2 linked regions of the Diceros bicornis minor genome follow. The protein of the gene in region 1 purifies or fractionates together with the protein of each later gene. This does not show direct contact. Links are inferred from orthologs where the notes say so. Each region holds a gene or a part of one and is shown on either strand. Other genes may lie near its edges.

The links.
Region 2: the proteins of OBSL1 (region 1) and CAMKK2 purify together in Homo sapiens (affinity purification with mass spectrometry; 4 studies listed by BioGRID and IntAct, with this or other methods). This does not show direct contact. The link is inferred for Diceros bicornis minor from reciprocal best matches to the Homo sapiens genes OBSL1 and CAMKK2.

The regions. Positions count from the first base shown.
Region 1 is NC_080776.1:9,820,719-9,836,782, reverse strand, and holds the start of OBSL1 (obscurin-like protein 1), read left to right. Parts: upstream 1-7,531; 5' UTR 7,532-7,822; coding exon 7,823-8,834; intron 8,835-10,589; coding exon 10,590-10,859; intron 10,860-10,943; coding exon 10,944-11,195; intron 11,196-11,344; coding exon 11,345-11,647; intron 11,648-11,800; coding exon 11,801-12,097; intron 12,098-13,224; coding exon 13,225-13,497; intron 13,498-14,652; coding exon 14,653-14,925; intron 14,926-15,588; coding exon 15,589-15,861; intron 15,862-16,064. Other genes in the region: INHA (inhibin alpha chain), read right to left, coding at 3,849-4,681, 6,456-6,726. UniProt on the Homo sapiens protein: Core component of the 3M complex, a complex required to regulate microtubule dynamics and genome integrity. It is unclear how the 3M complex regulates microtubules, it could act by controlling the level of a microtubule stabilizer.
Region 2 is NC_080774.1:8,549,246-8,564,918, forward strand, and holds the start of CAMKK2 (calcium/calmodulin-dependent protein kinase kinase 2), read left to right. Parts: upstream 1-7,961; 5' UTR 7,962-8,958; coding exon 8,959-9,104; intron 9,105-9,630; coding exon 9,631-9,797; intron 9,798-15,673. UniProt on the Homo sapiens protein: Calcium/calmodulin-dependent protein kinase belonging to a proposed calcium-triggered signaling cascade involved in a number of cellular processes. Isoform 1, isoform 2 and isoform 3 phosphorylate CAMK1 and CAMK4. Isoform 3 phosphorylates CAMK1D.

The sequences.
Region 1 (16,064 bases):
TATGAAATAAAAAACAAGTAACGTTTTTTTGAAAATCCACGTTAAAAAACAAAGTGCCCAGGAGGCAATGAGAAGAGAGTGGCTAGCTCTGCCAGCTGGGAGTCAGGGGAAGCCACACAAGAGATGACATCAAAACTGGATCTGCACCCACGCATTGGCTGAGGAAAGAAGGAAGACTGATGACATGGCAGCTTGAGGATAAAATGATGTACTTGAGGAACAACCAGAGATTGTATCAACGGAGTTTGGGAGCTCGTGGTTTGGTGGAGAGAGGAAGGCAGCAACGGGTATGAGATCAGGCTGCAAGGATGGGCTTAGGGTCAATTGTAAAGGGCTAGTCTACCACACAACACAGGTGGAACTTTGTGTAGTCAACTTTTTAAGCCACCTAAGGGACATGATCACAAAAGAAGTCTCCTTTGGCAGCCAGGCTAACCTGGACTGGAGAGGTAGGGAGTGACTGACTGCTAGAGAGCCGTTGAGGAGGCTGCTGCATTGCGCAATCAAGAATTGCCTCTGGGGCCAGCCTGGCGGCGTAATGGTTAAGTTCACATGTTCTGCTTCCTTGGCCCGGGGTTCACAGGTTCAGATCCTGGGCGCGGATCTCTCACTGCTCATCAAGCCATGGTGAGGCGGCGTCCCACATACAGCAACTAGAAGGATGTACAACTATGACAGACAACTATCTACTGGGGCTTTGGGGAGAAAAAAGGAGGAAGATTGGCAACAGATGTTAGCTCAGGGCCAATCTTCCCCAGAAAAATAAAAAAAAAAAAAAAAAAAAAAAGAATTGCCCCTAAGTGACAAAATGGTGTCTACGTAGGGAGAGAGAAAGGGCTTGATTTGAGAGATCATTAGGAGGAGGAACCCACAGTACTTGCCACACAGCATCTACCCCACCTTTTTGTGATAACTGTACCCTACTTTGGGGATACACCTGTCTTCACCTTTAGCCCTTGTGCTTAGGCTCTGGGCTCTGGGGGTAAGACACGTGATCTAAGTCATTAACTCATTCTGTTCCCTCAGCCACCTTTCCTGGAGGAGTACATGACCCCAATCAGGGCAATCAGGCCACCAAGACCCAGTCTGGGACTTCTGTAAGCAAACGCCCTCCTGCTAGACCATGTGGTGTGATGATGGGAGCCTGGAGCTGCCCAGGTCACCATGGACTTGGGATGGAGTCGACCGAGGGGAAGCAGAGCCTGTAGCTGGATCCTGAGACAACTTTTGAGCTCAGAATCAAGCCATACCTTAGCCAGCTGTGACCGTGGACTTGTCATGAGCCAGTGATTATTTTATTTTATATTATTTCTTTTATTTGGTTTAAGTCAGTTTGAGTTGTGTTTTCTGTTCAAACTGACTCTGAATTAAGAGTATTCAGTGTCCCTAATGATTAGCACTGGGAATGGGGAGCACCTCTGAAGTCTCTTGGCATGCTCTTAGTCTCATGGCAAAGAGTGAGGACAAAAAGATGTCCTTACTACTGTCAGCCCCTCTTAGGGAGCGGTGGACGTATCTTCCTGATTTGCTAAGTTAGCAGAATCTAAGGCCCAGAGCCCTGGAAGGGTTGGCCCAGACCAGTGTGACTCCCAGACTTGAGATGTCACAGATTTCAGCAGCAAAATTACAAAGAAAAATCTTAGGGACCAAATTAGAATTTCCAAGTTTTAATTTTGTTAAGTAAAAACTTAAAAACAAAATAAATAAACCACCACCTTCTACTATCACCATAATATCATAAAAGAAATACTACTTTCACATACACACACACACAGAAAGGATAACCTTAGAATAGAGGACAGTCCTTTAAAATAAATACTTTTGGCTTCATGAAAGACACTACCTTATATTCACTTTTCTCACTCCATCTCAGATGTGTAAAAACTTTTTACTAGCAGCACCAATCTGCTACCTGGCCTAGTGGAGAACACTGTGCCCCTCAGTAGAGTGTCCCCAGCCCTCAGATCTCATCCATAGCCCTGGGACAGGGAAAGTCTGGACAACACAGGGTCCTAGGCAGCCCCAGCAGGAAGAAGGAGGATCCTGAGTTTAATAGGAGGATTGAAAATCCCAGGGAAAGATTTGGCTCAGGGTAGGAGGATCTGGCAAGGGAAGCCAGACAGGGAGAGAGTGGCGCTCAGACAGGCTTGAGGAAGATCTATTCCCACCACTAGCCCAGCCCAGCCAGCCCTCCCACAAGTCCACCACGTGAGTAGGGCCCCCAGGAGCCCTGAGCACACACTGGTTGCAATGCCGGGTATAGATGAAGGTGCTGGGAGAGACTCAGGATTAGGAATAGGCAGGTTCCCACCTCCCAGCAGTGGCAGCCTCCTCGGGGGTTCAGTGTCAACAGAGACTGAGGCTGGCGCAGGAGCGTGGACGTGGGCTGCTCTGGCGGGTTCTTGTGCTGCAAGGAACAGAAGCTCATTCAGTTCGTCTCAAGTAGGGGGAATGTGTTAGCCTCACGGTGACAGGATGGGATTCTCTCCCCCACACCCCCTTCCCGGGGCAGGCGCTTACCTGCCCGCCGCATGGAACTGGACTTTGACAAATCACTCTGTTAGCATAAGTACACACTGTGGTTGTACAGTCAATATCAGACAGAGCTCTCGAGTTTCAGTCTGAGGGACCTGAACATCCCCAACCCTCCCCCTCCACACACACACACATCTCCCTTAAAGGGAAACTGGATGGAACCAACTGGCAGAGAGCCAGGATCCTGGGGCAGGCGGGTGGATAGTGAGACAGAGGGGAGGATGAGGAGGGCGGAATAAGCAGAGAGGAAGGCTGGGGAAGTGGGGTTCCCGACCTCCAGTCAAGGTGGGCAGAATGGACTAGTATGAGACCAATGGGAAAAAGACCCTTTGCATGCTGCTCCGGACTCTCTGTGTGTACACAAAGTGTGTACACAAATTCACACAAGAGCACACGTTTGTCCAGCAGTAGGTTCTGCCTTTCCATGCTTCCAACATCAAGGACTGAGTTAAGAGGCTACAGAAAGATACACAGTGTGCATCAAAGGAGCCAAAGATTTCAAGAACCCAAATCCCAGTACAGCCAGGCCTCGCAGAGGCTACAGCAAGACCCAGTGATAGGTTCAAAGGAGTCCAGGACCCTGGCAAATTGAAACCCTCAGGTCTTCATTCTTCCACCTCTCTGCCTGGTCAACCTTCGGATGCTGCCAACTCATACATCTCTCCCTTACTTCCCACCCAAGTTCCTGAGAAACCCAAGATCTGACCAGCTCTGAACATGTGTCTCAGTGGGGCCCCAAGCCATGGTCTCTGGCCAGTCTACGAATCACCTGACCTTGAGCTAGTGTCCATCAGCTAGGGCAGAGAATGGCAGGGGAGGGGCTATGGCCACCGTGGATGCAGGCACTGAGAGCAGTCGTTGCCTTTAGGTGTGGCAGGGCAGGCCACCCAACTGACATGTCAGGTCCGGCTTGCAGGAGGGCCAGTTCTGTCTCCAGTGTGGCTGTCAAGAGCCTGGAGCACCTCTGTGTCATCCCCAAGCCTTGTGGCTTCCCACCAGATGCATATCCAATCCCAGCTCTTGAACCTCAGATCTCCAAGGTCAGGTGAGGCTGAGTGACCTGAGATCCCACAATCCCATGCTCCCGGGGTCCAGACCTGGCCCCCGCCATATCAGAGAAGCCTGAGAATTCACGCCAAGTCATATGCACTACGCTGTTTATTGTCACATGTTACCCATGGGACAGCGGTGGGACGGGGGAGGAGCCTTCAGGCAGAGAAGTGGGAGGAAGGGGGAAGTAGAAACCATCAATCTCCCGAACTCTGCCCTTCCTCCCAGCTGATGGTGGGGGCTTGGCCCCCCGCAGAACTCTCTTAGATGCAAGCACAGTGTTGTGTGAGAAGGTTGGGCACCATCTCGTACTTGAAGGAGTAACCTCCATCCGAGGTGGTGCGGACACGTAGGGGTCTCATGGTCCCCGGAAGAGAGGCACAGCAGGCCTGGGCCCCTGGCACCAAAGAAAGGGGCTGGACAGGGGTGGGGGAAACCCCAGGGACCGGCAGGGGCAGGTCTGGTGGGGCAGGCAGCCCGCAGCCACCGTGACAATAGTGGAAGATGAAACTGGGAGGGTGCACGATCCACCGGTCCCAGCCCAGTTCCTGGAAGGAGATGTTGAGAGCCGCTCGGTGGCAGTTGGCGTGGGCAGCCGGTTCCTCTGGAGGCCTCTGGAGCAGGCGCAGCGCGGCGGGAGACCACGGCCAGGGCAGTGGAGGAGTCGAGCGCCGGGCTCTCTCCCCTCCACTGGGCGGCCTGGCCCGTGTGTGGGCCACCAGGAAGGGTGTGGCCTCAGGCCGGGCTGAGCAGGAACAGAGAGGACAACGCAGCAGCAGCACCAGGACAGGGCGGGTCAGCAGAGGAAGGGCCGAGGCGGCCAGGTGCAGCACAGCCCAGCGAGGGGGTGCCTGGCCCAGTGACATGGGCACAGCCATGGGACTCCCGGATGACAGTGCCAGCAGGCCTAGCAGGGGCCCAGAGCTATTAGAGGCTGCTGTGCCCTGCCTGTCCAGTCCGGTGTGGAACCACAGCTGGGCCGAAGTCACCTGGCGGCTGCGTGTGTGCTGGGACGGCCGGAACACATACGTGAAGAGGCCCTCTTCAGCCTCCTGGGCCCACTCACCAGCAGCTGGCATATCCTCACATCTGGCACCTACAGGAGACAGAGGGAAGGGAGAGGGCAGGCCTGACTGGCAGACTGGGGAGCCTTCCTCCTCGACAGAAGGGATGTGGCTGCCGTTCATGAGCCTGCCAACCACTCCATTGAGTGCTCTGCCAACTTGGGGCCTCCCTCCAGTCTTGGGAGAACTGACAGAGGCTCCCCATTTATTATCTCATCATTAAAGGACTTAAAAAATACAAGATGTTGCCAACTTCTCTCTGAAGTGGTTTTACCAATTAATATTCCCATCAGCCGTGTGTCAGAGGCCCTGCCGCTCTCTACCTTCACCAACACTTGGAATTGTTCGTTAGACTTAAATTTTTCTTCATCTGGTAGTGTGAAATGGTACCTTGAAGGGTCTGTACACAGGCATTTGTTGTGTTACTCTTTATATCTTTTTACATGTTAGAAATAGTGCCTGATAGGGGCCGGCCTGGTGGTGCAGCGGTTAAGTGCGTGTGCTCTGCTTCAGCGGCCCAGGGTTCACAGGTTCGGATCCCAGTCGCGCACCAATGCCCCGCTTGTCAAGCCATGCTGTGGCGGCGTCCCATATAAAGCAGAGGAAGATGGGCATGGATGTTAGCCCAGGGCCAATCTTCCTCAGCAAAAAGAGGAGGATTGGCATGGATGTTAGCTCAGGGCTAGTCTTCCTCACCAAAATAAAAAAAAAATAGTGCATGATAAATTCTTTAAAATAATTCCACTTTTAATGGATGGCAACTAGGATTTTGGTGGTGAACACAATGTAGTCTAAACAGAAATTGAAATATAATGATGCACACCTGAAATTTATATAATGTTATAACCCAATGTTACTGCAATAAAAAATTTAATTAGAAAAAATAATAATTCCACTTTAAAAAGACAGGTTAACACCAAAAAGAAGAAAGAGGAGAAGAGAGACTATAGCTCAGGATAGAGGGCAGCACGTTCTAAGAAAGTGCAGCTGGCATCCTGACCCTGATGGGTACATGGACCACAGTGAACCATCATGGATCAGCACCAATAGGACTGGCGGTTAGAGCTATAGTGTTACCTGGATTATCTTTATCTATTATAAACCTCACAACAACCGATCCATTTTGCAGATATGGAAACTGAGGGTTAGAAAGGTGAGTGACATTTAACTTAAGCGGCCAGGCTGGGACTCTGCCTGATCCCAAAGCCACACTTTGACTGACTGTGCTGCACGGGGAGTGATGAGCAGGGAGGCAGCCGGTCCTCTCTAAGGGAAAGGTGGGACAGATTACAAGAAAGTAGATCCAGAGGAGGGCTTTATTGGTTCGGTCCATGGAACATGGGGACACACACAGGGAGATGAGAAGGGAATTCAAGAGAAGATGGACCGGTTTCCCAGAAAAGTTTCCCAACTGCTCTTTCTCCTACATCTCTGATATCTCTCAAGTCTCAGCTACTTGGGGCTAAAGGAACAAGGTTTGGAGCAGGGAGCAGAGGCAGAGAAAGAAGGGAAGGTGGCAAGAGGGGGCTCATGCCCAGATATCTCCGTCTCTAGGGACTTTTGGTCTCCCAGACGAATATCTCCCAATGCCTCCTATGTGCCATGCACTCTAGATACACCATCTCACTTAATCCTGAGAGGTAGGCATTATTGCCCATGTTACAGATGAAGACACAGAGGGTCAGGGAGGTTTAGTAACTGGCCCATTGTTGCAAAGCCAGTTGAGTGAGACCACCCTGGCTTCCAAGCCCACACTGAACCATGCTGCTTCTCAAAGTCGCCCTCCAAGATCCCCGCCCTCGTTACCTGAAGCTGGGAAAAGGATGGCCTGGGATACATCCTCCTCCTCGGGCTCAGAGGCCCTCCGCACGGAGCCTCCCAAGGCATGTCTTCGGGGCAAACGCCTGACTCCAGGATCCCCACCTTCCCCGATCACTGCCGGGGGCCCCAAGGCGTCCAGGAACAGGGCCCTCACCTTGGCCAGGACAATTTCCCGGTCCAGCTGTGACCCCTGGCAGCCATGCCCAGCCTGTGGAACCAGGAGCAAGAGGAACAGCAGTGGCGGCTGGGACACCATCGCTCACCTGGGCCTGCCAACAGTGACCCCACTCCCTGCCCTGCGCCCCTTCAGTCAGGGTCTGCCCAGGGCCTCCCCACTCCCCATCCCACCACCCGCCCTCTTCTACCCTTCTCCCTGGGTCTTCCCCAGCCCTTCCCACACCCTGCAGTCCGAGTTGCCCCTGCCCGTGGCATTGAGACCTCCTATCTCTGACGCAGATGTCTGTGGCCCTGAGCCTTATCTCCCACTCCCGCCAGGAATGTGGGGGAGGGGGCTGGTGAGGGTTTTCACCCCAAGTGACCTGACCCACACAGACAAGCCTTCCCCCTACACACACTCACTCCACACACACACACACACACACACACACTGCCAGTCACATCGGAGCACCCAGCACAGAGGTGACATCAGGTGTGACAGGAGCCTGGCAGCTGGGGTCTGTCAGCTCCTAAGAGGGTTATTTGTCGGGAAGACAGAATGTGCCAGCCCCTCAGACCTTCTGGGGCCCCTTTCACCCAAGCAGCTGCTGGACCAGTCCTGGGGGAAGGGCTGAGGCTGGGGCTAGAACTGGGGCTAGGGCGGGGGGCAGGTGGTCCCGCCTGCTCTATACTTAGCCTGGAGGAGCCAGCCCGGGCTCTTGTCCTCCAGCTGTGTCATCAGAGAATATTTTTGGGATTGGCAGCTGCAGGCGACTCTGCCACTCAGGCCCAAGCCTGGCGGGCGGCTGGGGACCTGGCGGCTGGAGGGGGGAAGGAGGAGGGGAAAGAGGCCCAGGCTGGGGGAGGGGGCTGGGAAGGGAGGCTCTCGGGAGCAGGAAGCCAGGCCGCGGGCAGGGGAGGCTGCGGGGCCCCTCGCCGTAAAGGCAAACAGGAAGGACTGCCCCCTGAGCTGCGCGCTCCGGGCCCGGGATCGCCGCCGCCGCAGAGCTGCAGCTCCGGGCCCAGGGTAAGGAGGCGAGCCGGGAGCGGGCGGCCCCGGGAGAGCTCGGCGGCTCCCCGCGCCCCGTCCCCAGATCCGCCCCGCCTCCCGGGCTCCCGCCGCCGCTCCGGGCCTCCGCGCGCCCGCAGGCCGCCCGCGCTGCCCCCGCGCCGCGGGGCCGTCTGCGGCCGGCGCGATGAAGGCGGGCTCGGGGGATCAGGGGAGCCCCCCGTGCTTCCTGCGCTTCCCGCGGCCCGTGCGGGTGGTAAGTGGCGCCGAGGCCGAGCTCAAGTGCGTGGTGCTGGGGGAGCCGCCGCCCACCGTCGTGTGGGAGAAGGGCGGGCAGCCGCTGGTGGCCTCGGAGCGCCTGAGCTTCCCGGCGGATGGCGCCGAGCACGGCCTGCTGCTGAGCGGCGCGCGGCCCACCGATGGGGGGGTCTACGTGTGCCGCGCCCGCAACGCGGCCGGGGAGGCCTACGCGGCGGCCGCCGTCACCGTGCTGGAGCCGCCGGCCCCCGAGCCCGAGCCCCAGCCCGCCGAGCGCCCGCTGCCGCCGCCCGGGGCTGGAGAGGGCGCCCCGGTGTTCCTGACCGGGCCCCGGTCCCAGTGGGTGCTGCGGGGGGCGGAGGTGGTGCTGACGTGCCAGGTGGGGGGCCTCCCCGCGCCCACGCTGTACTGGGAGAAGGACGGGATGGCCCTGGACGAAGTGTGGGACAGCGGCCACTTCGCGCTCGAGCCGCGCCGCGCCGAGGGTGGCCCGGGCGCGAGCCTGGCGCTTCGCATCCTGGCGGCGCGGCTGCCCGACTCGGGCGTGTACGTGTGCCACGCCCGCAACGCGCACGGCCATGCGCAGGCCGGCGCGCTGCTCCAGGTGCACCAGCCCCCCGAGAGCCCCCCCGAGGACCCCGACGAGGCGCCCCCGCCGGTGGTGGAGCCGCTCAAGTGTGCGCCCAAGACCTTCTGGGTGAACGAGGGCAAGCACGCCAAGTTCCGCTGCTACGTGATGGGCAAGCCCGAGCCCGAGATCGAATGGCACTGGGAGGGCCGCCCGCTGCTCCCCGATCGCCGCCGCCTCATGTACCGCGACCGCGACGGCGGCTTCGTGCTCAAGGTGCTCTACTGCCAGGCCAAGGACCGCGGGCTCTACGTGTGCGCCGCGCGCAACTCGGCAGGGCAGACGCTCAGTGCCGTGCAGCTGCACGTCAAAGGTACTGCGGCGCCCCCAGCAGCCCGGGCCTGGAGAGCCCTCCAGCGCCCTCCGGGGTCCTCCTTACTCCATCGCCTCTCAGTGCCCAGCGCCGCCCAAAAGACGGTGGGGGAGGGGAGACGGGCTATTAAAATACAATTTCCAGCCCTCCTCCCACCCCCCAGGGATTCAGATTTAGCAGGTCTCCAGCGTACCCAGGAACTTCTTAGCAAACCTCCCCAAGTGATTCTGAGGCAAGTGGTGGAAAACTACCCTTGATAAGCGGCTTTAAGGAGTGATTGATGTACAAACCCAGAGGGGCCTAGATCTCTTCTACTCCAGTGGTTTTCAACCTCTTTATTAATTCACTCCTTCTTCCCCAATGGAAACCCCATCTGGGGCCCCGATATATAAAACAGATAAAAGGAACATTTTATCCGTGTAAATTTCTAAATCCAAATGTATAACACATACCTCTAAAGCCAACCAGTGAGAACAAGGGGGCTATTTTATTGATTACACTCATTTTAAGTGGAGGCTGTGTTCATAACCGGCTCTCCTCTGTGAGCCTGGGGAGAAACACCTGCCTGCAGGCCTCACATTGAGAAACTCCTGATTCACCCCAAAGGTAAGCTTGAGGGAGGAAAAATACTCTGGCATTTTTGACTATTCTTTCACTAAACTGCTGTTCAGGTTTGAAAGAAGAGGAAAAGAAAGGAGAGGAAATTTATGTTTCAAAGCTGAGTCACCAGCAATATCTAATAAATGCTTACGTTGCTGGTAAACAGAAAATTCAGGGGTAAAAAAGAACACCCCAAACTCACACCGGAAGTTAAAGCTCTCCATGATAGGACTTCATCACAAGTCGAGGGATTGTACATTTTCTAGTTATTGCCTAGCTTTTTCCCTCAGAGGAGAAAAAGTTGGCAAATCTCCTGAGCTCTGCCTGGCACGCCGTCAAGCACGAGGCACCTGTGGTGCCGTGGTGGCCTCGCTGGTACAGTTTGATGTGCACAAACTGGCCGGGCCGCGTTGAACCCTGACTCCATTGGGAGAGAAGCCCAGCAGGAGGGCAGAGCTGCAGGATGAACATGCTTCTCCAGCAGCCCAAGTGAACCCACTGGTCATTTCTGTCATTATGCTTTCTTTTTATAAGATGCAATTTTGAAAATGGTTAAAGTTGTTAAAAATGAAATTCCACTCAGACCCTTGCAGAATTTGTGAGGTGCCTCTGGCAGAGCATGCCAAACTTAACCACTGATTTTCACAGTGTGAAAATCACTAATGTGGGGCCGGCCCCGTGGCCTAGTGGTTAAGTTTGGCGTGCTCCACTTTGGCAGCCTGGGTTCAGTTCCCGGGTACAGACCCACACCACTCGTCGGTGGCCATGCTGTGGCAGTGACCCACATACAAAATAGAGGAAGATTGGCACAGATGTTAGCTCAGGGCCAATCTTCCTCAGCAAAAGTAAAGAAAGAAAAAGAAAATCACTAATGTGGTGCATCTCTTTCCCCCACTTTACAAGTAAGGAAACGGAGGCCCAGGATCATTAAAATGGCCTTGCTCGGGTGATGTGGCTAGTGAGTGTCAGGGTCAGATAAGAATTTAGGCCATCTTCTCTTCTGGTGATTTTTCTGTGATTCCACAGTGCCTGCCAGCTCTGGGAGAGAAGCAAACGGCATGAGCTAATGTGGGTTTAGGCAGCTCAGGATGCCAGGAGGAGTCCTTCGGGTCTGGCCCTCTCCAGAGCCTTCTCTGGTCTTGCCCCTCTCCACAGAGCCCCGCCTCCGGTTCTCGAGGCCCCTGCAGGACGTGGAGGGCCGGGAGCACGGGATTGCCGTGCTGGAGTGTAAAGTCCCCAACTCCCGCATTCCCACCGCCTGGTTCCGCGAGGACCAGCGGCTGCTGCCCTGCCGCAAGTACGAGCAGATCGAGGAGGGCACCGTCCGGCGCCTCATCATCCACAGGCTGAAGGCAGATGACGACGGCGTCTACCTGTGCGAGATGCGGGGCCGCGTGCGCACCGTGGCCAACGTGACCGTCAAAGGTCGGCTGGCCAGTGGGAGGAGGCCAAGGCTGAGGCAGGCAGGTGCCCAGATCCCAGGCTGATGGATTCCCGTCCGCGTCTCAGGGCCCATCCTGAAGCGGCTGCCGCGGAAGCTGGACGTCCTGGAGGGAGAGAACGCAGTGCTGCTGGTGGAGACACGGGAGGCTGGAGTCGAGGGGCGTTGGAGCCGAGATGGGGAGGACCTGCCGACCACCTGCCAGAGCAGCTCTGGCCACATGCATGCCCTGGTCCTTCCGGGGGTGACCCGAGAAGATGCTGGCGAGGTCACCTTTAGCCTGGGCAACTCCCGGACCACCACTCTGCTCAGAGTCAAATGTGAGGGCATGAAAGCCTCCGGGGAAGACTCCTCAAGGCTGCACAGGAGGGCCAGGGCAGGGGGTGACCAGAGGCTGGGTTAGCAAGGGGGACTAAGGTGGGAGGGCCGTGGGAGCGGGGCTGGAATGCAAACCCTGCCTTTGTCTCAGGCGTGAAGCACAACCCCCCAGGACCCCCCGTGCTGGCAGAGATGTTCAAGGGCCACAAGAACACGGTCCTGCTGACCTGGAAGCCTCCCGAGCCAGCTCCCGAGACCCCCTTCATCTACCGGCTGGAGCGGCAGGAGGTGGGCTCGGAAGACTGGATCCAATGCTTCAGCATCGAGAAAGCCGGCGCCGTGGAGGTGCCGGGCGACTGCGTGCCCTCCGAGGGCGACTACCGCTTCCGCGTCTGCACGGTCAGCGAGCACGGCCGCAGTCCCCACGTGGTGTTCCACGGGTCTGCTCACCTCGGTGAGTTGGTCCTGCCAGACCCGGCCCGGTGGCAGCCGTGCCCCAAATCACGCCCTCCCCATCACCCCTCCTCCCTTCTCCAGCCCTCGCTCCCTGTTCTCTATGTTCCTCCAACCTCTGCCGTCTGATGGCTGCACTCTGTCCCCGTCGCAGTGCCCACAGCTCGCCTGGTGGCAGGTCTGGAGGATGTGCAGGTATATGATGGGGAAGATGCCGTCTTCTCCCTGGATCTCTCTACCATCATCCAGGGGATCTGGTTCCTTAACGGGGAGGAGCTCAAGAGCAGTGAGCCGGAGGGCCAGGTGGAGCCTGGGGCCCTGCGGTACCGTGTGGAGCACAAGGGCCTGCAGCACAGGCTCATCCTGCAAGCCGTCAGGCACCAGGACAGCGGGGCCCTGGTCGGCTTCAGCTGCCCAGGCGTGCAGGACTCTGCCGCCCTCACCATCCAAGGTTGGTGCTGGTGGGGACCAGGGTGGGCAGATAGGGTCAAGACACAGAAGTCCTGTTGGCAAAATGAGGCAGATGCTGTTCCCTTTTCTCACGTCTGGGCCGGGAGAGTAAGGAGCACCTGTAGTGGGCTCAGAGAGAGGGCTCCGTGGTCCGGAAGGCCGATTTCAACCCATGTGCAATGTACAGGGGACCTCTTGTTATCTTCATCGGCATCGTATCCAAATTCTCTGGAGCACTTTGTGGTTTATAGAATTCTATCACGTTTATCATCTCAGAGACATGGGTCCTGGCCCCTAGTTCCTGACTGCTTCTTGCCCTGTTGTGTAATTGCTGACATATCAGAGCAGCTTCCCATGTGCCAGGCACAGTCTGATCATTTCCATATAGTAATTATCACAATCCTCTCAACAGCCCTATAAGTTAGGTTCTTTTGTCATCCCATTTTACAAATGGAGAAACTGAATCACAGAGAGGTTAAGTGACGTGCCCAAAGCCACAGAGCTAAGGAGTGGTGGTGCTAGATTATGAACCCAGGCAGTCTGGCTCCAGGATCACCCTCTGCCACCTGTGGAAACAGGGAAGGAGAGGGAAGGAGGCATCCCTGAGGAGGACGGTTCTAGGTGGATGTCTCAAAGTTCAGGGTGCACGCTGGCATTTGCCAGCTCACCATTGCTGGGGTTTGTAGGGCCAATCAAGGAATTCCTCAGCTCCCAAGAATAGCACCTGGGGCAGTTAGCTGCCACCATCCCATGAAGAGGGCAAAGTGAGAAATAACCAGCAACCAGAGCAGCGTTTCCAAAATGAGGCCTGGGGTCAGCGACATGAGAATCCCCGAGAGGGCTGACTAATGCAGACTCCTGGCCCTTGCACGCTTGGGAAAGGGCTGTTGTCTAGGAATGTGCATTTTTAGCAGGCTCCCTAAGAATTCTTAGGCACCCTAAAACCACTGCTCCCAAGAGTTGGTGGGGAGGCCTGAAACTGTTTTTCAAAAGTCCAACAAATGCGTGGACGGCGGTTGTCTGGCCTGACGGCCCATGCCCTGCACCAAGCCCGCGCACCGGAGGGGGTGCGTATCCCAGGCGCAGCACAACGAGGCACCGCATGTGACTGCACTTCTCCCCACTCAGAGAGCCCGGTGCACATCCTGAGCCCCCAGGACAAGGTGTCCTTGACGTTCACGACCTCGGAGCGGGTGGTGCTGACCTGTGAGCTCTCCCGGCTGGACTTCCCAGCCAGCTGGTACAAGGACGGGCAGAAGGTGGAGGAGAGCGAGGCGCTGGTGGTGAAGGCAGACGGGCGCAAACACCGCCTGATCCTGCCCGCGGCCCAAGTCCAGGACAGTGGCGAATTCGAGTGCAGAACGGAGGGGGTCTCAGCCTTCTTCAGCGTCACCGTCCGAGGTCAGAACCGTGGCGGCCGGGGCTCCTCTGGCTGAGGCCGACTCTGGGGGCCGTGCAGGCCCTGCCCCCTGGTCTGCCTGCTTGGGGGTCCCTTCTGGGGAGAACCTCGTGGGCTGGGAACATGTTTTCAGATCACTCTGCACTTGCTTCTTAATTCTCCCGTGCACCAACACCCTCCAGCACACTTGCCCCCACATCCCCTCTGCTGGGGGTGGGGGGAGAACTAAAATCAATTAAGGGAAGGAAGGGAGGAACTCACATTTTTGGGGCCTCTCCTGTGAGCTAACTACTATGTGATACTTCAGATATACACTATTTCCTTTAATCTTCACAGATGAAGAAACTGAGGCTGAGAAAGGTTATGTGACTTCAGTATTATACAGCAAGCACACACCCTAGCTGGGTTCACACCCAGGACCGTGCTTATCCTACTGCCCCAGGTGGTCAGGGTCAAAGGGAAGCTTTAAGTGCAGTGGTCCAGTGGTTCTCAGAGGCCAGTCTGTGGTCTGGCTGCCTCAGAACCACTCTGGAAGCTTGTTATAAATGCATATGCCCAGGCCCCCCCAGACTGCCAGAGCCAGAATATCCGGCAGAGCCTGGCGGTCTCCTCTGGGAAGGCAGCTTGGGAACCATGGATCCAGCTCATCTCGCTGAGTGGAAATCCTGTTTCAACCCCATTGCCAGGAGGTTCTCTAGCCCCTGCCTGAATGCACCCAGTGATGGAGAACTCACTACCTGTAGGGAGCAGCTGAACCGCTGTGGCTCCGCTAGTCATTCCCAGTTCTTACTCATCCTCGGGCTAGCATGGCAGGGGCTTCCTGGTGAAAGCAGCAGCCAGCGTGGCCCTGACGTGGCCTGTGATAGTGACCACCTCTCAGCCTAGACGAGGGCTCTCTGCCTCCCTCCCTCTGTGTCCGCACCCAGCCACCTCTGACCCTCTGGGGACCCACGGAGCATTAAGGGTCCACATGATCTGCCATGCCTCACCCTCCATGCCCTCAGTGTCCCCTGTCATTGCCCCAGAGCCCCCTGCACAGCATGGCCTTAACCCTCCCAGTGTCCTCCGCGGAAGAGACTGTCCCGGCCAAGCGGCCGGTGTGGACTCATGTCTCCTGTGTGTGGGGTGTCTGTGTGACCCCTGCTCTGCTCTCCCAGACCCCCCGGTGCACATCCTGGACCCCCGGGAGCACGTATTCGTGCACGCCATCACCTCCGAGTGCGTCATGCTGACCTGCGAGGTGGACCGGGAGGACGCCCCCGTGCACTGGTACAAGGATGGCCAGGAGGTGGAGGAGAGCGACTTCGTGGTGCTGGAGAACGAAGGGCCCCATCACCGCCTGGTGCTGCCCGCCGCCCAGCCCCCGGACGGCGGCGAGTTTCAGTGTGTCGCCGGAGACGAGCGTGCCTACTTCACCGTCACCATCACAGGTGGGGGTCCAGGCAGGCCCAAGGGACAGGGGAAACTGGCGGCCCCCCAGGCAACTGTCACATTCTCACCCCCGGGCCACAGTTCCCAGCCCCTACTCCCCTCCCCCAGGCTGGTCAGATGCCCCACCTTCTCCCTGACTCATGGTCTGCACCCTGAGGTTCAGTCACCCCAGAAAAGGCACTGTCATAAACACACTGGTCACGGCTGCACGGGGCACAGGGAGGCCCTGCCTTCTCCATTCTCCCGAAGACCCTGCCAAGGGAGACCTTTAGGGACAGCAGTTCTACTGCAGGGCAGGTGGCCCAGGCACTAGAGGGGGCAGAAGGTCTTAGAGGCTGGCGGGAGACCCCAGCTCCATCTGGGCACCCGACCCCCCTCTCCCCGGTCTCACCCTTCATACCGTCCCTGTCCCAACCCAGAGAATATGGAATGTGTCTACAGCAGAGGCTGACACGTGGTCCCCCCTGCGCCGCCGTGCCCCTGATGTCCTTTGGTGACTGTGGTTGTGTCTCCAGCTGTGCGTGGAGACACACTCCGAGGGAGGGCCCTCTCCTTCGACACGTGACCCACTGTCCAGGAGTAGGGAGCAGGCGTGGATCAGAGAGGGCAGCAGGGTGCGTCGGCCCCAGCCACTGATGCCCAGCCATGCTGTCCCTGTCCAGACGTCTCCTCGTGGATCGTGTACCCCAGCGGCAAGGTGTACGTGGCAGCCGTGCGCCTGGAGCGCGTGGTGCTGACCTGCGAGCTGTGCCGGCCCTGGGCCGAGGTGCGCTGGACCAAGGATGGTGACGAGGTGGTGGAGAGTCCCGCGCTGCTCCTGCAGAAGGAGGACACCATCCGCCGCCTGGTGCTGCCCGCCGTCCAGCTGGAGGACTCGGGCGAGTACTTGTGTGAGATCGATGATGAGTCGGCCTCCTTCACCGTCACTGTCACAGGTGTGGGCCCACCCCAGCTGCCCAGGGCCACCAGAGGACAGTCCTGAGCCCTTGGGGGAGCTGGCCACACACCCCTAGCTAGCACACTGGGGAGGAGGGCGGAGGGGCTGCGGGTGCATGTACCAGGGTTCCCTGCCCGGAAGAGCCCGGGGCCCCTATTCGGGTAAGCAGGCTCCTCCTCGATGCCCAAGTCCAGGAACAGC
Region 2 (15,673 bases), on another chromosome or scaffold:
ATTTAACTATATAAATGAGGGATGATGATAACTTAAGTCTAAGAATTCATCATGAATAAGGTGATTATAAATTAAGAAAGGATCCGAAGCTCAGAGGCATGTGGATGCCATCACTCAAATATACAGTGTATATAATTTACATATTTCAACCCTGCAATTAACAGTAGCTGGTTATTGCTTTGTCTTCCTGAATTTATCTTATCCTTGAGTATTCACAGAAAAATCCCTGTGTTTCGAGTCCAAAACAGCAACAAGGAACCAACCAAATTTTGCAGCTTCTATCATTGGCTCTTTCTCCGTTAAATTTAAACCTTCTGATGGGAAATAGTTTATCTACAGAGCTCTTTGAAACAGTGTAAAACAACTCCCACTCATTAGGGTGCGTTTGCTGGCCAAAGACAGCTGCTCTGGAAACAAGAGACTCAATGTAGAGATAGAGACACTATCTCTATGGTATGTTGATGTTTAAAAATCTTTCCTTAAATTTATTTGAAAGGTTATATAAGTAGATGGTAAAAATTAAATATTCTTAAAGCCTGTCTAGTAAAAAGTATTTCTTCCTTCCAGAGGGTAACCACTATTATCAGTTTCTTTTTATTTATTCTTTCAAATATATTCTCTCATCTGATGTCAGTTTTGATCACTGTATTTAAACTAGATCTTTCCAGTCTAAGAAGCGATCTTAATCACTGCCTCATAAGAAGGTCCAAGAGATGGGGCAAGTTTGCTCAGCTGATCCCATAGGTATCAACATGAAAACCAGAAATCAAACCTGACCAGGCTGCGTAATTTGTGGGGCCCAGAGCAAAGTAAAAATATGAGGCCTATATTAAGCAGAGCACTAAGCCAGGTACGGGGCCCTTATAAGCAGAGAGCCCTGTGGGACTGCACGGTTTGCATGCGTGTGAAGCTAGCCTGCCTGACCCTGCTCTTAGCTTGCACATTCACCTTGGCAGGACTGAACCCCAAGCTAATATGAAGAGTCTGTGGCCCCCTGCCATTTGTGACTGAGACTTTTTGGCTGGGCCCATCTCCTCCAGGAAGGAATAGTAGGTCAAATGGAAAATTGGAAACATCAGAGTGACCCCAAAACTCAGAACTGTCTGGGTAACAGCTAATTGGCTTTTTTCCTGGTGGAGCATTTGGTGGAGGAAGAAAGAGTCAGACTGGTGTAGTTATGGGTGGTTTAATTTAGGGGTGTAAGAACTGATGAATGGTTAAATGGGGAAAAGGTTTGGTGAGGAGGGCATTGAAGCTAAACAGCCAATGGGCATCAGGTCTATACCAGAGACCTTAGGATCCATCCTCAAAGGGGAAGAGAAAAACAGTGTAGTGACCTGAGCCAGTGGCTTGGCATGATGGGAACTCGTTACCTAGCACATTTGGTGCCGAGTGTTTCCAGCTGTGAGACAGATGGAAGCAAATAGCTAACACTTACACAGTGCCCTGGGGTGAGTGATTTATGTATATTAACACATTTAATCTTCATAACAATCCTAAGAGGTAGGCAATAGCATTAATCCCATTTAACAGATGTAGAAACTGAGGCATAAGGAGGTTAAGTCACTCACCCAAGATCACACAGCTTGTACACCTGAAATTTATACAATGCTATAAACCAATGTTACTGCAATAAACAAACAAAAAAAAAGATCACACAGCTAGTAGGTTGCAGAGCTGGGAATCCAACCTAGTTGGTGCATTATCCTAAAGCTGCCTGTTCTCAGTTTTGAAAAAGTACTGTTTTTGTGAATACTCTTTTTCAGTTTGTTGAATGCATAATTGATAATATTGGTTGTCGTTTACCTAGTGCCCCAAATAGGCCAGACACTGTGCTAGATCCTTTCACACATACCGTCTCTAATGCTTGTAAGCCAAATACTATTTTATAGGTGAGGAAACTGAGCCCTGGAGATCCAGCCTGACGCAGCCCCCTCACTAGTAAGGACCAAAGTCAGGATTCAGTTCTGGGTGTGACAGGCTCCTCAACCTACACGCTATCCCATCACCAGACTGCCTTTGTGTTCAGCTATGTACCTTGAATATTTCTGCTGGTTCAGAGTGTTTAAAATTTTGTCTTGACGTTTTTGGGTGGTTACACTGACTTTTTTCTTTCTCGTAGTACATCTAAGACAAATAAGAACTTCATCTATGCCCCAGCCGACTTCTTTTATGTGGTTATTTATTTTGGGGACTAACAAACATAATCTCACTGCTGGTTGAAGGGAAACCTCTCGGTTTTTTTTTTTTGGCCAGCGTTTTTCTACTGTTTTGTTGAATGGGAAAGAATTCAACAAATAAAGTACGTTGGTGTGATTAATCCTGCTGTCTCTATTTGGATGTTCAAGGTTTGGGAAGCGGAACATTCCAGTGAACATGAGTAGACACAGAACAGTTCAGAAAGGAAAGACAGTGTTGGCAGGAGCTTGTGATGCCATCCTAGTGGGCGGGATAATTTTCAAGTCTTACTTTTCAGCCCCTCCCTTGTACTGTTCAAGTTTTCTTTAAAAATAAGATTCAGATGCTTTGTTTACTTATTTTCTTGGCAATCTGTGTTGTCAAGACAACAAGATCTGTTTGCCTAGAATAGGTTTTTCTGGTGTTCTTGGAGGAGAAAACTCAAAAAACAAAAGCCAATTCTTATTTTCATATCTCTAAGAAGAAACTGGTTTCCTTAAGTGGGATAATTTCTATCATAAGAGGGCCTGAACGTCAATGAGAGACAATTGTGATGTTCTCTGCTTTGTTCTAATTCACTTTAATAGGCAAGGCACATAACTGATGGTGTTTTTAGCTCTGTGTTAAGTATATTCATAGTTAGCTCCATTGAGCACTTATGTACCAGGCACCGAGCTGTTATCGTGGCACACATTATTGTATTTAAACCCCAAGCTGAGCCTGTGAGCTCGGTGCTGTGATGGGCAACATTTGACAGCTGATGAAACCAAACCAGGAGAGATCAAGTGCAAGGCCACAGAGCTGGTACCTAGCAAAGCTAGGATTTGAACTAGGTTTCTCTGGCTCCAAAGTTTTTCAGCCACAATGCTGAGAGCATACAAATGTTTCAGATATGGTACCTGCCTATACTCCAGGAATTTATAGCTCTATTGGCAAGTCAAAGCATATGAGTGAAAAGGTAAAGAATAAAGAAGATAATTGGCTGAGCATCAAGTAAGCTACAGTCTTTGCTATAGGAGATCAGAGAGGAGAGACGTCAAGGAGGGCCTGGGCCACAGCATTCCAGGAAGTTCTTCCAGAAAGAAGTGAATCTTGGGCTAGGGTTTCGATGGGCTCTTCCTAACCTTTCTTACATAACTGGTTTCTAACTTTACATAGCTGTATGTATATCTAAGTTTCTGCCTGTGTTAGCTACAGCATTCTAATAAAACATAGGCAAATTAAGTAACATGATATAAACACAGAATTGTATGTTTTAACAAGTAACAGGAAAAGACATCAACCAATATCTATTTTGGTTTCCTTAGTAAAGCAGGGGTTGCCAAACAATTGTCCATGGGCTGAATCTGGCATGCTACCTGTTTTTATATGGCCTGCCAGCTATGAATGATTTATGTATTTTTAAATAGTTGAAGAAAAATCAAAACTCATATTTTGTGGCACATGAAAATTATATGAAATTCAGCTTTCAGTGTCTGTAAATAAAGTTTTATCGGAACACAGCTATCCCCATTTATTTACTTTGTCTATGGCTGCTAGAATGGCAGAGTTCAGTGGTTGCAACACTGTATGGCCTGCAAAACCTAAAATATTTACTATCTGGTCCTTTACAAAAAACATTTGCTGACCCCTAACATAGAGTCAGAAATGTCCAAAATGCTCCCCATCAGCCCTGATACATATTTTGGGGGAGAAAATAGAAAAATACAGAGCTATGCCTCCACCATTCAGAATTGACTGTTAACATTTTGCCATTTGCTTCAAATCCATTTATAAAAAAAGGCATAAAATGGACAACATTGCTTATGTTCTTCCTCTCTATTCTCTGTCCCTACTTCCTCCTTTGGGACAGACTCATGAATTTAATTTGCACTCATCCCCTCTGACTTTTAAAGCACTTGTATATAAGCTCGCGGCCATGAACAATATAGACTGTGTGGGGTTTAAAAATAGTACACACAAATTGTGCATCATATTTGTGTGTATCGTATTCTGCAACTTACTCTTTGTTTTTGGGATCTCCTCATGTCTGTACAAATAGACCTAATGCATTCCTTTGAACTATTGCGTGGTATTCCATCAAATGACTATAACACATTTCATTTATCCATTCATCTGATGAACATTTAGGACGATTGTTCCCAAGTTCTTACTGTTACCAACGAACGAGTGCGTGTTGGATAACATCAGAAGGGGTGACGAAACCTGTCAACCTTTAATTCGGCCCTTGACTCTCCCCTCAACTCTTGATTCCCTTCCGGCCGCTTGGCAGGGTCAGCGAGACATCCCCTGGGTAACTTTCGGTTCAGGTCTGGGTTTCGAAACACCGAAGGCCCCCGTCTGGCAGCCCTTGAGCTCTTCTCCCCCGCCCCCCTCCCTCGCAATGCTATTGCCCAGCTGGGAGACTAAACACACACTTAAGGCTCCAGCAAAGTAGGGCGCCAAAAGTAGAATGTTCGAGAAGAATATGATGTATTTCACAAAAAGCATCTAAGTAGTCTTGGGGAAAAGCCAGAACTTCATTGGGATTCGTGTAGTTTGGTATATCCTGGCGGAGTCGGGGTGGAAGAGGAACACCGTCCCCCAGCCTAATTTAGGGCGAGCCCTGAGCAGTGGTCAGTGAGGAAGCGTGTTCGGAAGGGGTTTCTCCAAATGGATGGTGACCCGAAATCCAGGCCACATCCACCGGGGTCGCCTGGGGCAGGGGTAGCAGCCCCGGGGCGGGAGCCGGGGAGCGGGGCGGGCCCCCGGGTGTCCCGCAGGCTTGGGGAACTTTCCGCGACTCAGCCGCCGCCCTGCAGTCCCCGCCTGTGGCTAAAACAAAGCGAGCGCTGCCGGCGCGTCCGGCCTGCCGGAGGGTGCCGCGGCCGCCGCGGGGAGAACCGGGGCAGGTGCGCGCCGCGGGCGGGGGCCAAGCCGCCGCGCAGCCTCCGGGGCTCGTGCGCCCGGCAGGTCTCCCCGTGTCCGCAGCTCCGCCGCCTCCTCCGACCCCTCCCGCCGGGCCGCACTTCCCCTCCCCTGCGCCTCCTCCCCTGTCTCCGCCTCCGCCTCCGCCCCGCCGCTGCTTTCCTCTCCGCGAGCTCCCGCCCCCTCCCTCCCGGCGCGGGGCCGAGCCGGCGGGGGCGCGCCCGGGTTTCCAGCGGCCGCGGCCAATCCCCGCGCAGCCCGCGGCGGCGTCGCGCCGCAGCCGGGACCGGGCGGCTCCTCCCGCCCCCGCCCCCCGCGCGCCCGCCGGGGCCGCGGAGAGGAGCGCGCCGCGCCGAGCCGAGCGCAGCCGAGCCGGGGGCGCCGAGCGCGGAGCCCAGGTGAGCGGGCGGGAGCTGGGAGCCGGGCGGCGGGCGGCGGGCGAGGGACGCAGCTCCCGGCGGCCTCGCGCTCTCGGGGCGGGGGACCACTGCCGGGACTGCAGACAAAGCCCCGAGGCCGGCTCCGGGCTCCCCCACCGAGGGGACCCCACGTGCGCCGCCCCACGCCCCGCCACGTGGGGGACGCGGCTCCTGGCGCCCCTTCCCCCGCGTCCTCGGAGCGCCCGGGGTTTGGGGGTGGCCTCCTTGGCTGGGCCGCGCCCGGCCCGGGTGGCAGGGGCGGTCGCGGAGTTTGGAACCGCTGTCTCCGCGGGCGGGGGCAGTCAAGGATGCTGGAGGCGGCCTAGGCCCACCCCCGACGTTTGACAGGTGGGGAAACTAGAGCGCGCAGGGGACAAGGCCACCGGACTTGGAGCATATCACCCCCGCACCGCGCGTGTCTTGGGGGCAAACCCAGGCCCTGGGGGCTTGGACATCAGGCGGCAGGACCCCAGAGCAGCACTTGCGGGGCCCTTTGCCCCCGCCCCCCTTCTCGCAGCCGGAACCTCACAGCCTTGGTCCTTTTGACCTAAATTCACCTCGGGGACGCAGCTCCGCTGTGAACGCAGAGAGGTGCCTTCACTGGCACCCTCCGCCTGCCTCCCGGGGACGCGGGGTGCTGGGCCCAACCCCGCTCTGCATGCCTGGGGTGCCACTCGCTCCAGCCTCGAGCTTTTCCTGGCTTCCCCCACCCCCTGCACTGCCCAGTTTGGGAAGCCGGGTGTTTTCACAGCTCTGCCAGCTGCCCTGCTGCTCTCACTTGGCGCTGAAGAGCTTGCACCTCTGCCCCATATCCCGCAGAAGGTTGGGGCAGACGGCATCTCAGTGGCAGTCAGCAAGAGAGGGGCGCGTTGGCCTCGGGATGGGACATGCAGGGTCCTTTTCCTTAGAGGCAACTTTTACCTTCCTCGGTCTGGAAGTCTCCACAATCCTAGAGATAGAAACTTCTTGTGCCCTAGAGCTGTGCTGTCATTCACCACTCCCCCGCCCCTGCCCCTGCCCCCAGGGGAGAAAAGAGGATAGACTTAGGTCCCCATAGGCTGCCTTGTTGCTAGGGGAGGCAGGGGCAGCAACAAGGGGAGGGCTTTGGGGGAGTTAGACTGCTTCTCCCAAACCACCCCACAAAAACATGCAGCTTAAGAATAAACAGTGTGCATGCTATGCAAGTGCAGCTTCCTAGTGAGTCTCGATCCTCCTTCCAGATGGCTGCTCATAAACTCTTCCTGTGTAGAAAGCAGCCATTCGCAGTGAGAGCACACAACATATTTTTGTAATAAGAAGTAATAGCGGTCATTTGATGAGCCCGTAACTTGGATAATAATATTAATGATGTGAATAACTCATATTTGTTGAGTTCTTGCTGGGTGCCAGATACTGTGTGATGTGTTGCATGCATTATCTCATTTAATGCCTGCCAACATCCTACAAGGCAAATTTTTATCCCTATTGTAGATATAAGGAGACTGAGGCTGGAAACAGTCCTGCAGTGTTGCTAGGAGTTAGTCCCATTTTATAAAAGGGCTCAGAGAGGTTAAGTAACTTGCCCAGGGTCACACAGCAACCCAGGCATGTCAGGCCTTAGAGCCTTTGCACTTTACCACCTGTTCTAGACCCGGGGCCCTTGCAGGCTGCCCTCAGCTTCTTGAGGAGCCCAGAGTTGTTTACCAAACTAGCCTGTGAGAACACATCTAAGCAGGCATGGTGGTGATGCTGATTGGCTTGGGCTTGTCTTTGCTCCCAGGTTGTTAGGGGGCTGGTGGCCAAATGTATTCACTAATAACTATGCGGTGGCCCTCAGCCAGGGCAGTCTCACCTTCCTGGCGAGCACTTGGAAAAGTGTGGAGGTGACTTTTGGTTGTCAAAATGATGCTGAGCACTCCTGGCTTTTGGTGGGCAGGAGCCGAGATGCCAAATATCCTGCAAGCGGGCCAGATCCTCAGCAGACATCCACAGCAGGCATGAAGAATTGCCCTGCCCTAAATGCCAGGAGTGCCTCTGTTGTGAATCCAGGAGGCTCCCTGAAGGAGGTGTTGTTTGTGCTGAGCCTGGAAGGATGGGCTAAGAAGTGGAGATTGGATGGGAGTAGGAGGAAGGGAGATAGGACGGGATGACCTGGCAGAGGGAACTTTCTGTAGGAACCCAGAGTTCCCTCCTTGAGGACCTCAGTCTGGACCCAAGACAGGCCAGTGGCTGTGGAGGCACCTTTCTCAGGAGGAAGGGGTGGGCTGGGTGGGGCAGGCCAAGCCTGTTTTCAGGGCACTTTGGCTCAGATTTTAACATGGGGCACAGCATCGCCTGTACCCCTCCATGAACCGATTTTGTGGAAGGGCTCAGAGAGGCTGAGTCACTTGTTCAGGGCCACCTGTGACCTTCTTCTCCCCAACATGCCTGCTTCTGGTGGCTGTGGGAAGCATATGGTTCCCATTTCCTGGAGATTTGGGGCAAATGCTATTTCAGATTTTCCTTCGGGTCAGAGGGCCTTCACTGCTATTTTTGCCAGATATTTTGCTTTTGCAATAGCTCCTCCCCTTTGGACTGGGTTAGAGAACCCGGATGTGGGGTGCAGGGCGGCCTGGCTCTGTGGTGCTGCAGTGGCCTTCACCCCAGCTTCTGTGCCTTCTTTCCTGGAAGTTGAGGAGATTGCATTGCCTTTTGGAATGGACTTTTCTTCTTTGAGGCTGTGCTTGTTACCTTACTGACCTGCTAATAATATGTGACCTTTTGTGTCTGGCTTCTTTCATTGAGCATAATATGTTCAGGGTTCATCCAACTTGTAGAATATATCAGCGCTTCCTTCCTATGGCCGAATAATATTCCCCTGTATGGATACAGCACATTTTGTTTATCTGTTCATCCATTGATGGACATTTGGGTTCTTAATGTCCATCCTCTTCAGGCGACTGTATCCATTCCTCTGCCTCGGCAGCCCCCAATTAATAAACCTCTGGGCATAAGACATTATCTTCTCACTCCATTTGCAGAGAGAGGGCGATGCAAGGATGGGTCTCTGAAATCAGTTGGGGACCAGCTTCCTGGAGGAAGGTTTTCAGGACTCCCTTAATTTCACTGCCACCCGCTCCTCCGCAGGACTCCTAGCTCCCTTCTAAGCCCATTGCCTCCCCGGTCAAGTCACAGGTGTTAGAAGTGTGATTGTCAGGGAGAGTCTGGATTTCATTCAGCTCCATTCTTTTCAGTGATGACAATTCGTTAAATGTAGGTCCCCGTGTGATTTTCTTGGTATATATTTTGTGAAACTTCTGCCGGGTAAGTAAATCCACAAAGTAGAGAAAGCCTCACCAGACAAATCGAGCCGTAACTCGGTGGCCGGGCCTGGAGTCGGCTCAGTCTCTCCTGATAGCTTTGCCAGGAATGCCCACCACGGACCGACCGGAAATGGAGCAGCGTGAAAACAGAGCTGGGAGGGAGCCCAGAAAAGATGGGGCATCAGCCCCTCTCAGTTGACCTGGGGAAGGTGGAGCGCAGAGAGGAAGGGAAATCACGATCTTTTCATTTGTTGACTAGGAGCCGAGCTGTGGGCTGGGCACTTTCATATAGAGGATGGATGCTACAGCTGCCTGCTAGGTAAGCCAGGGTGGCTCCATTTTATAGAAGAGAAAATCAACCCTCAGGTCCCGTAGGATCCTGACACACCCTCTAATCCCGTGCTCTTGTGTCTCCCTCGCTCTCCTTATGCTGGCAAAGGATGCCCATTTTCTCATGGAGTAGAATCCACCCTCTCCAGGCGGTTATGGTGCAGAAATAATTTCTGAATGGTTTTGCTCTCTGAAAAATAGGATTTTGAATGATTATTTGTTCTTTCTTCCCTGATTGCATCGCTGCCTCAACAAAACCAAAAAAAATAGCATATTTAAAAGGAGGTGAGTGCTCTTCGACTTCCTAGGGAAGACCTCTGGCTCTGGCATTCCCTGCTGGGGGATGGTAGTGACCAAAATGGGGAAGGAGTTATTTTAGCCACCAGTGTTCTCAGTTTCTGTCCTGTTTGTAGTGTTGCCACTGAATTTTTTTTCTTCAATTATGAAACATTTTAAGCGTAGAGAAAAGCCAGAGTTTTGTTTTGTTTTGTTTGACTGGCTGGTTTTTTTGGAAGGCTGGAAGGAGGCCCAGGAGGTGATGGAAACAGGGCAGAGCAGGGCGCTGCGCTGTACTTAGCAATGGCTCTGGAACCTTCATGGTCTTTCATGGAACCCACACTTTTTGGGGGGGCTGGTGACAAGGAACGCTGGAACTTGGTCCCTGTCCCCAAGAAGCTCCCAGGTAAGTGGTCTGTGAACTATTGGGGAGTGCTTTGGAAAAGATAAACAGTTCTAGCATTTTTCCCTTTTGAAAAGGAGAGAAAGAAAATAGGAAGATTCTGTGTTGTGCCCCCACCCCCATCCCATCCTGAAAGCTGCTAAGTAACTATTTTTATGTTGTCTCTTTTTATCCTCTTGGCTTCTGTAAATAGTTGAGAGATGGCAGTTGCAGAGATAAAAATGCTAATTCTAACCTGGAGAGGAGAGAGGATGGTTCCCCAAGAAAATGCGCCCCTCCCCAGGCCAAAGTCTTGCCCCTCTGCCCGCTTGGCTTGGGCATGAGATAGGAAGTGAGTAGATGGGGAAGGGGCATTGTGGGTGGTGCCTGAGATAACCTTCTGCTGGAGGAGTTTAAATGGGGAACTAGTGGTTGGGGCAGGGGGCAGGGTGTGGAGGAAGGGACACTTCCCTTATGGGTTTTAAAGGTTTTTATTGGGATTTTGCCTTCAGGGCCTCTGGTGGAAAGAGATTTTATTTAGATTCATTTCAGACGATGCTCCCACGCTCTGGGTCCAGGTGTTGGGACAGGGTTGGACCCCCAGAGCCGTGCCTGCGCTGGCTGGGGTTCCTTTGTGCTGGAGGCTGGGGAGGGAGAGAGCTCGAGTTAGCATTACCTCCAAATGGCAGGGAAGAGGGAGGGAGGAGGGCCGTGGGTGGCCAAGGCACGGATGCTGTGGATGCCGAGCCGGCCCCCTCTATCTCTGATGTGCCAAGCTGCAGAATGTTGAAGTCGAAGTCTTTCTTTTCATTACAAATTGAAATTTCAGTTGTTTCCCTGTGTCTTCCTTTGGTTCAGTGAAAGCCTGGGAGGAATTCAGTGGGAGAAGAGGAAGGAAGTGAGGTGGTTCCTACCTCCCTTGTCTAGATACCCGGCCCCCACTTGCCCACACCTTCACACTTTCTCACTCTTCAAGGCAGGGCCACCAGCCCATACCTGGCTTTCGATACCTGGATGTGTGATTGGGGCCGCTCTCTCCGTGATCCTTTGTCATTGACAGAACAATAGCTCCTCAGAGCTCTTAAAACGTTGAGCTTCTTGCTCTGTAAGTGTCCTGGGCCGCAGGGGACACCTGGTTCTCACCCCAGCCTGGCCTCAAACCAGGTCCTCTCACCTCCCTGGGTCTCCGGAACTCCATCTGCAGCCCCAGTGCGTTGACTGTGAAAGCCGTGTGAGAGCATGCGCAGGTTCTTACGACACAAGTAAGCAAGCGTGCGAAAGTGTAGGCACCCTCTGTTTTTAATTTTGTACCAAGTGTTGCATGTGGACGGAAGTTAAAGAGGAACATGAAGCGTTAAGTTAACATGGTAGGATTAGAGATTAAAAAATTTTGTTTTCATGTAGATTAAAGCCAGTTGAGGGGCTTGAACTTGATAGCCGCTGAGGGGCTTGAACTTGATAGCTGCTGAAGTGCTTTCTTGGCAACAGCTTCCATTTAGGGAGCATTTACTGTGTGCGGGGGCTCGTGTGGTTGGTGAGGTGGTGTTGTTATCCCCAAGGTCGCACAGCTGAGGAGAAGGGATGTGCCCCTGATCATGGAGTTCCTCCACTTTGGAGCCTGTGATTTCACACTTGTGCCCTCCCAAAGCACCGTGCGATTGCCCGCAAGTCCCTCGGACTCCCTGTGCCTCAGTTTCCTCATCAGTGAAATAAGCATGATAACGGTACCTAACGTATAAGGTTATCGGGACGATTAAATGAGATGATACATACAAAGTGCCTGGCATTTGGCAAGCACTGAACAAGGCTAGCCGTCACCATTACCCCGTCTGTGGCTACTGTGGTTGCTGCTACAATGATGTGATTCTTGTGTCGAAAGTGCTAGTCAGTTTCTTCCCTTTACTCTGTCCTGTTCCTTAGCCCTTCTATTCCTTGACTTTTTTTTAGATTTTTATTTATTTATTTTCCCCCCCCAAAGCCCCAGTAGATAGTTGTATGTCATAGTTGCACATCGTTCTAGTTGCTGTATGTGGGATGCGGCCTCAGCATGGCCGGAGAAGCGGTGTGTTGGTGCGTACCCGGGATCCGAACCCAGGCCGCCAGCAGCGGAGTGCGCGCACTTAACCGCTGAGCCATGGGGCCGGCCCCCTTGATTTTTTTCTTTAAGAAAAAAAGAGATTTTGGAAGTTCTGGTTTCCTCCTGACTGTCAAGGTGAAGGCTGTGCAGCTTACTGGGGCACTTGCAGCTGCCTGGCAAGTTTGCCTGGTTGGGAGCCTTAAGGTATAGAGAACTGATCATCTGGCAGGGAGCTTAGGGGAGAAGTTTCTCTGTCAGTCAGCTCTGTGTCATCTGTCAGTCAGGACCCTTGGTTGTAAGTGACAGAAAACTAATTGCAAACTAAGTTAAGCAAAAATGGGAATTTATTGGCTCATGTAGTTAAAAACTCCTGGGGTACGTGGGCTTCAGGCATCGTTGTGCCCAATGTCTCCTGTTTCACAGAAAGAGACATTTTTTCTTCTCAATGCTTCCACAAAATCCTAGAATAAGACTCGGTAGACTGACTTGGGTCACACATCTACTCTAGAATCAATCACTTGACCAGAGCAGTTGATGCCTGGTTGACCAGGCTTGAGTCACATGGAACCCCTGAATCTGGTGGTGTGGACATCTCTGTGGGGTCACTTTTTGCATGGAAGGTTGTGTTCCCAGACATAAATCAGGCTGCTGTTATCAAACTGAAGGAAAATAGATTCTAGGCAAGCTAAAGAAAGCATCTGACCTTCTGAACGGCCTTGGGATAAGTGAAATAAACAGTGACCTCTAGCCAGTATTTATTGAGTGCCAGCAGTGTTCTAGAAAGTTCTAGGTCCTGGAGTTCAGCAGTAGACAAGAAAGGCAAAGCCATGGCTCTCACAAGTTAAGTCAAATCCATATCTCTGTGCCCAAATCCTATGCATTTCATTTCTGAGCACCATAAGACACTGTGCCTTCACACACTCTCCTCTCACACAGGTGGAGATCTCAGGAAGGCAGAGGGATGGACTGTATGCTCCCCTTTATTGGAGATTTTGGCCCATCATGGACTTTATTCAGGACACAATATGTGGACATTGCAAGGCCGTACCTGTAATTTTTAGCCCCTTCCTGAAAAACTCAGACCAATTTTAGTTCTGCCTGGAACCACCGTGTAACTTTGGGAAAATCAGTAAATCTTTCTGAGCCTTCGTTTTCTCATTGCTGAAATAAAATGGTTGGGCAGGTGACCACTGATGTGTGCCCTTTTTAGCACTAACATTTGATGCATCTCAAAGCAGGGCCTGCAGGGGTGAAATAGGTCATGGGAAAGAGGAGGGCATTCAATGCGGCTCTCAGCCTGTCCTCGGCATTGGGGAGGCAGTGGGGAGTGGTGAGGACAGTGGCATGCTGGCGAGTGTATCTCCTATTCAGAGCTGCCCACGTTGTTGCCAGGAAAGAGTATAGACCCAGTGCTATCAGGGCATCCAGTTCTTCAGGAGACTCTGGAAATTTTTATTTTTATCTGAAATCTCCTGGCTCTGAAATGTTGGTATCTCATTCAGATAGTTTTAAACACAGTGTAGGCCAAGCAGGATACATCAGTGGCCAGATGTCACACAAGAGTCACCATTTGCCACCTTTTTGCTCCAGGGCCTATGATGGGGATGGGGTCTCTGCCCTCTGAAGCCAGTACCATCCCTCCTGCCGTCTGCCAAGGGAGGGCTTTTCTCTTTGGGGAGACAGTTGGTCTCAGTGACTCCAAACTAGAGAGTGTTCAAGGAGAGACAGTTGTAAGAGTTGATGTCACTGAATCTGATAAGACTGCTTGGCTGGGCCGGGGACCCCGATCTGGAATATTCCATCTGGCCTCAAACCTCAGCACTGTGTCGGCTGGTATGGCCGAGCCTCCCAGGTCTCCCCCTCGGGCATTGGAGACACCTCTGAATCTGTGGCCTCTGAGGCAGCAGCTTCTCTGGTTGGGTGGGAGCTGTGTTAAGTTTGCTAGGACAGCTATGACAAAGTACCACAAACCGGGCGGCTTACACAACGGAAATGTATGATCTCACAGTTCTGGAGGTCAGAAGTCCCAGATGGAGGGTTGGTTCCTCTTGAGGGCCATGAGGGAGAATCTGTTCCCTGTCTCTCTCCCAGCTTCTGGTGGCTTGCTGGCGATCTTTGGCATTCCTAGACTTGTAGGCGCAGTACCTGGGTCTCTGCCTTCATGTTCTCTTGGTGTTCTCCCTGTGTGCGCGTCGGTCTCCGTGTCCAAATTTCCCACTCTTTATAAGGACACCAGTCATGTTGGGTTAGGGCCCATCATAGTGACCTCATTGTGCTTATAGTGACTTGTGTGCCTTCTTTTAAGAAATCACGTCTGTTTTGTTTATCTGGCACATAGTAGGTCCTCACTGATTACTTGATGAAAGAACAAAGGGATGAGTGAATTTCCTTTAGGACCTCCCTGGACCTCAGTTTCCCCACGTGAGGAGGTAGCTGCCCAAGCCTGTTATCCCAGGAAATGACATTGACCCTCACCTCGGCAGGGTCCTCACAGCTATTTTGGGCCCCTTTTGTTGTCCCATGGTGCCCGGGCCCTCATGGGACCCCGTTCAGGGGGTGTCTCGGGTTGGGGCACGTCCCTGGCGCTTGCTGGCTACTTGCCGCGCTGCGGCTCCCGTGTGGCTCTGCATTTGGTGAGCAGGCGCCGGCTGGAACTGCCCCCAGGAAATGGGAATGCGTTTCCTCGAGGCCTGTGCCATTTGGCTTCCTGGCAGAGGAAGGAGCTCTTCCCTTCATCCTGGCCCTGAGCCGATCCATCTGCTCCAGGAAGGGTCTGGTCGGTCAGCTGAGCCGCCCTGTGAGAGGGGAGGGCAGGGGAGCTGGGGCTGCCAGCCAGGGCGTGGGGGAGGCCTGGGGGCCAGGGGAAGGACCCAAGGTTGGGGCAGGAGGCTCAGAGGAGAGGGCTCTTGGCACTTTGTCAAACCCGGGCAGCTCTGCGGAAAGGTCGTCTTGCTCTGGGGCCCCCTGAAATCAAATGCTTAGCTGTCCCTCCCTCTCAGAGGGCCTGTGAGGATTGAATGACCAGCGCAGAGCAGTTAGCCATGCTTGGTGCCTTGTAAGTGCTTGGTTGGATGTTAGCTATTGCTGTTATTATGCAAACCATTGTCTTTTTTTATGATTTTTTTCTCCTAGGAAGTGTATTGGTAGCTTTCATCAGGTCCTTAAAGGGCCTGTGACCTCATAGAGTCTGTGACTCCAAAACAGTTCCGAACGCTGGCTGAGACTCCACTCCGAGGTGGTCAGTGGCGAAAGATCTTCCATCAGGCTGAATGGCTGAGACCTTGCCTGCCAGGCCTTGCTGCAGACCAGTGGCCTCCAGGTGGCCTTGAGGCTCTGAGGTCGGTGTCCCCTGGGATTCTCTTTCTTGAGACCTGGACACACCTGCCCCTCCAGCACAGAGGTCCCCACCTGCCCCTCCAGCACAGAGGGCCCTACCTTCATCCCAGCCAGCGGATTTCTCCTCTCCCCTCCTCCAGACGTCAAGGGCCAAGGCCTGGGCCAGACGCCAGCTTGTCAAGGAGACTGATTAAAAGCAGCTTTGCTGGGGGTGGATGGCTTGATGTCCTTGGCCTGGAGTGGAGATTGATAAGCAATTGTTTTTCTGTTGGCAAGAAAAAAAATTCTCCATTAACTTTCTCGGGTGCTGCCAGACTAGTTTTCTTTTCAGGAACTCTGTAGCCTTGTCAGAACATCCTCCCTCCCTCTGTGGCTCTGGGAGGGAGGATGGGCCACTGGAGCAGCTCCCCTGCCCTTGGGGAGGCAGGAGGAAGAAAGAACATTCTGGAACACAGCCCAGCAGGTAGTCCACATTCAGTAGGTATTT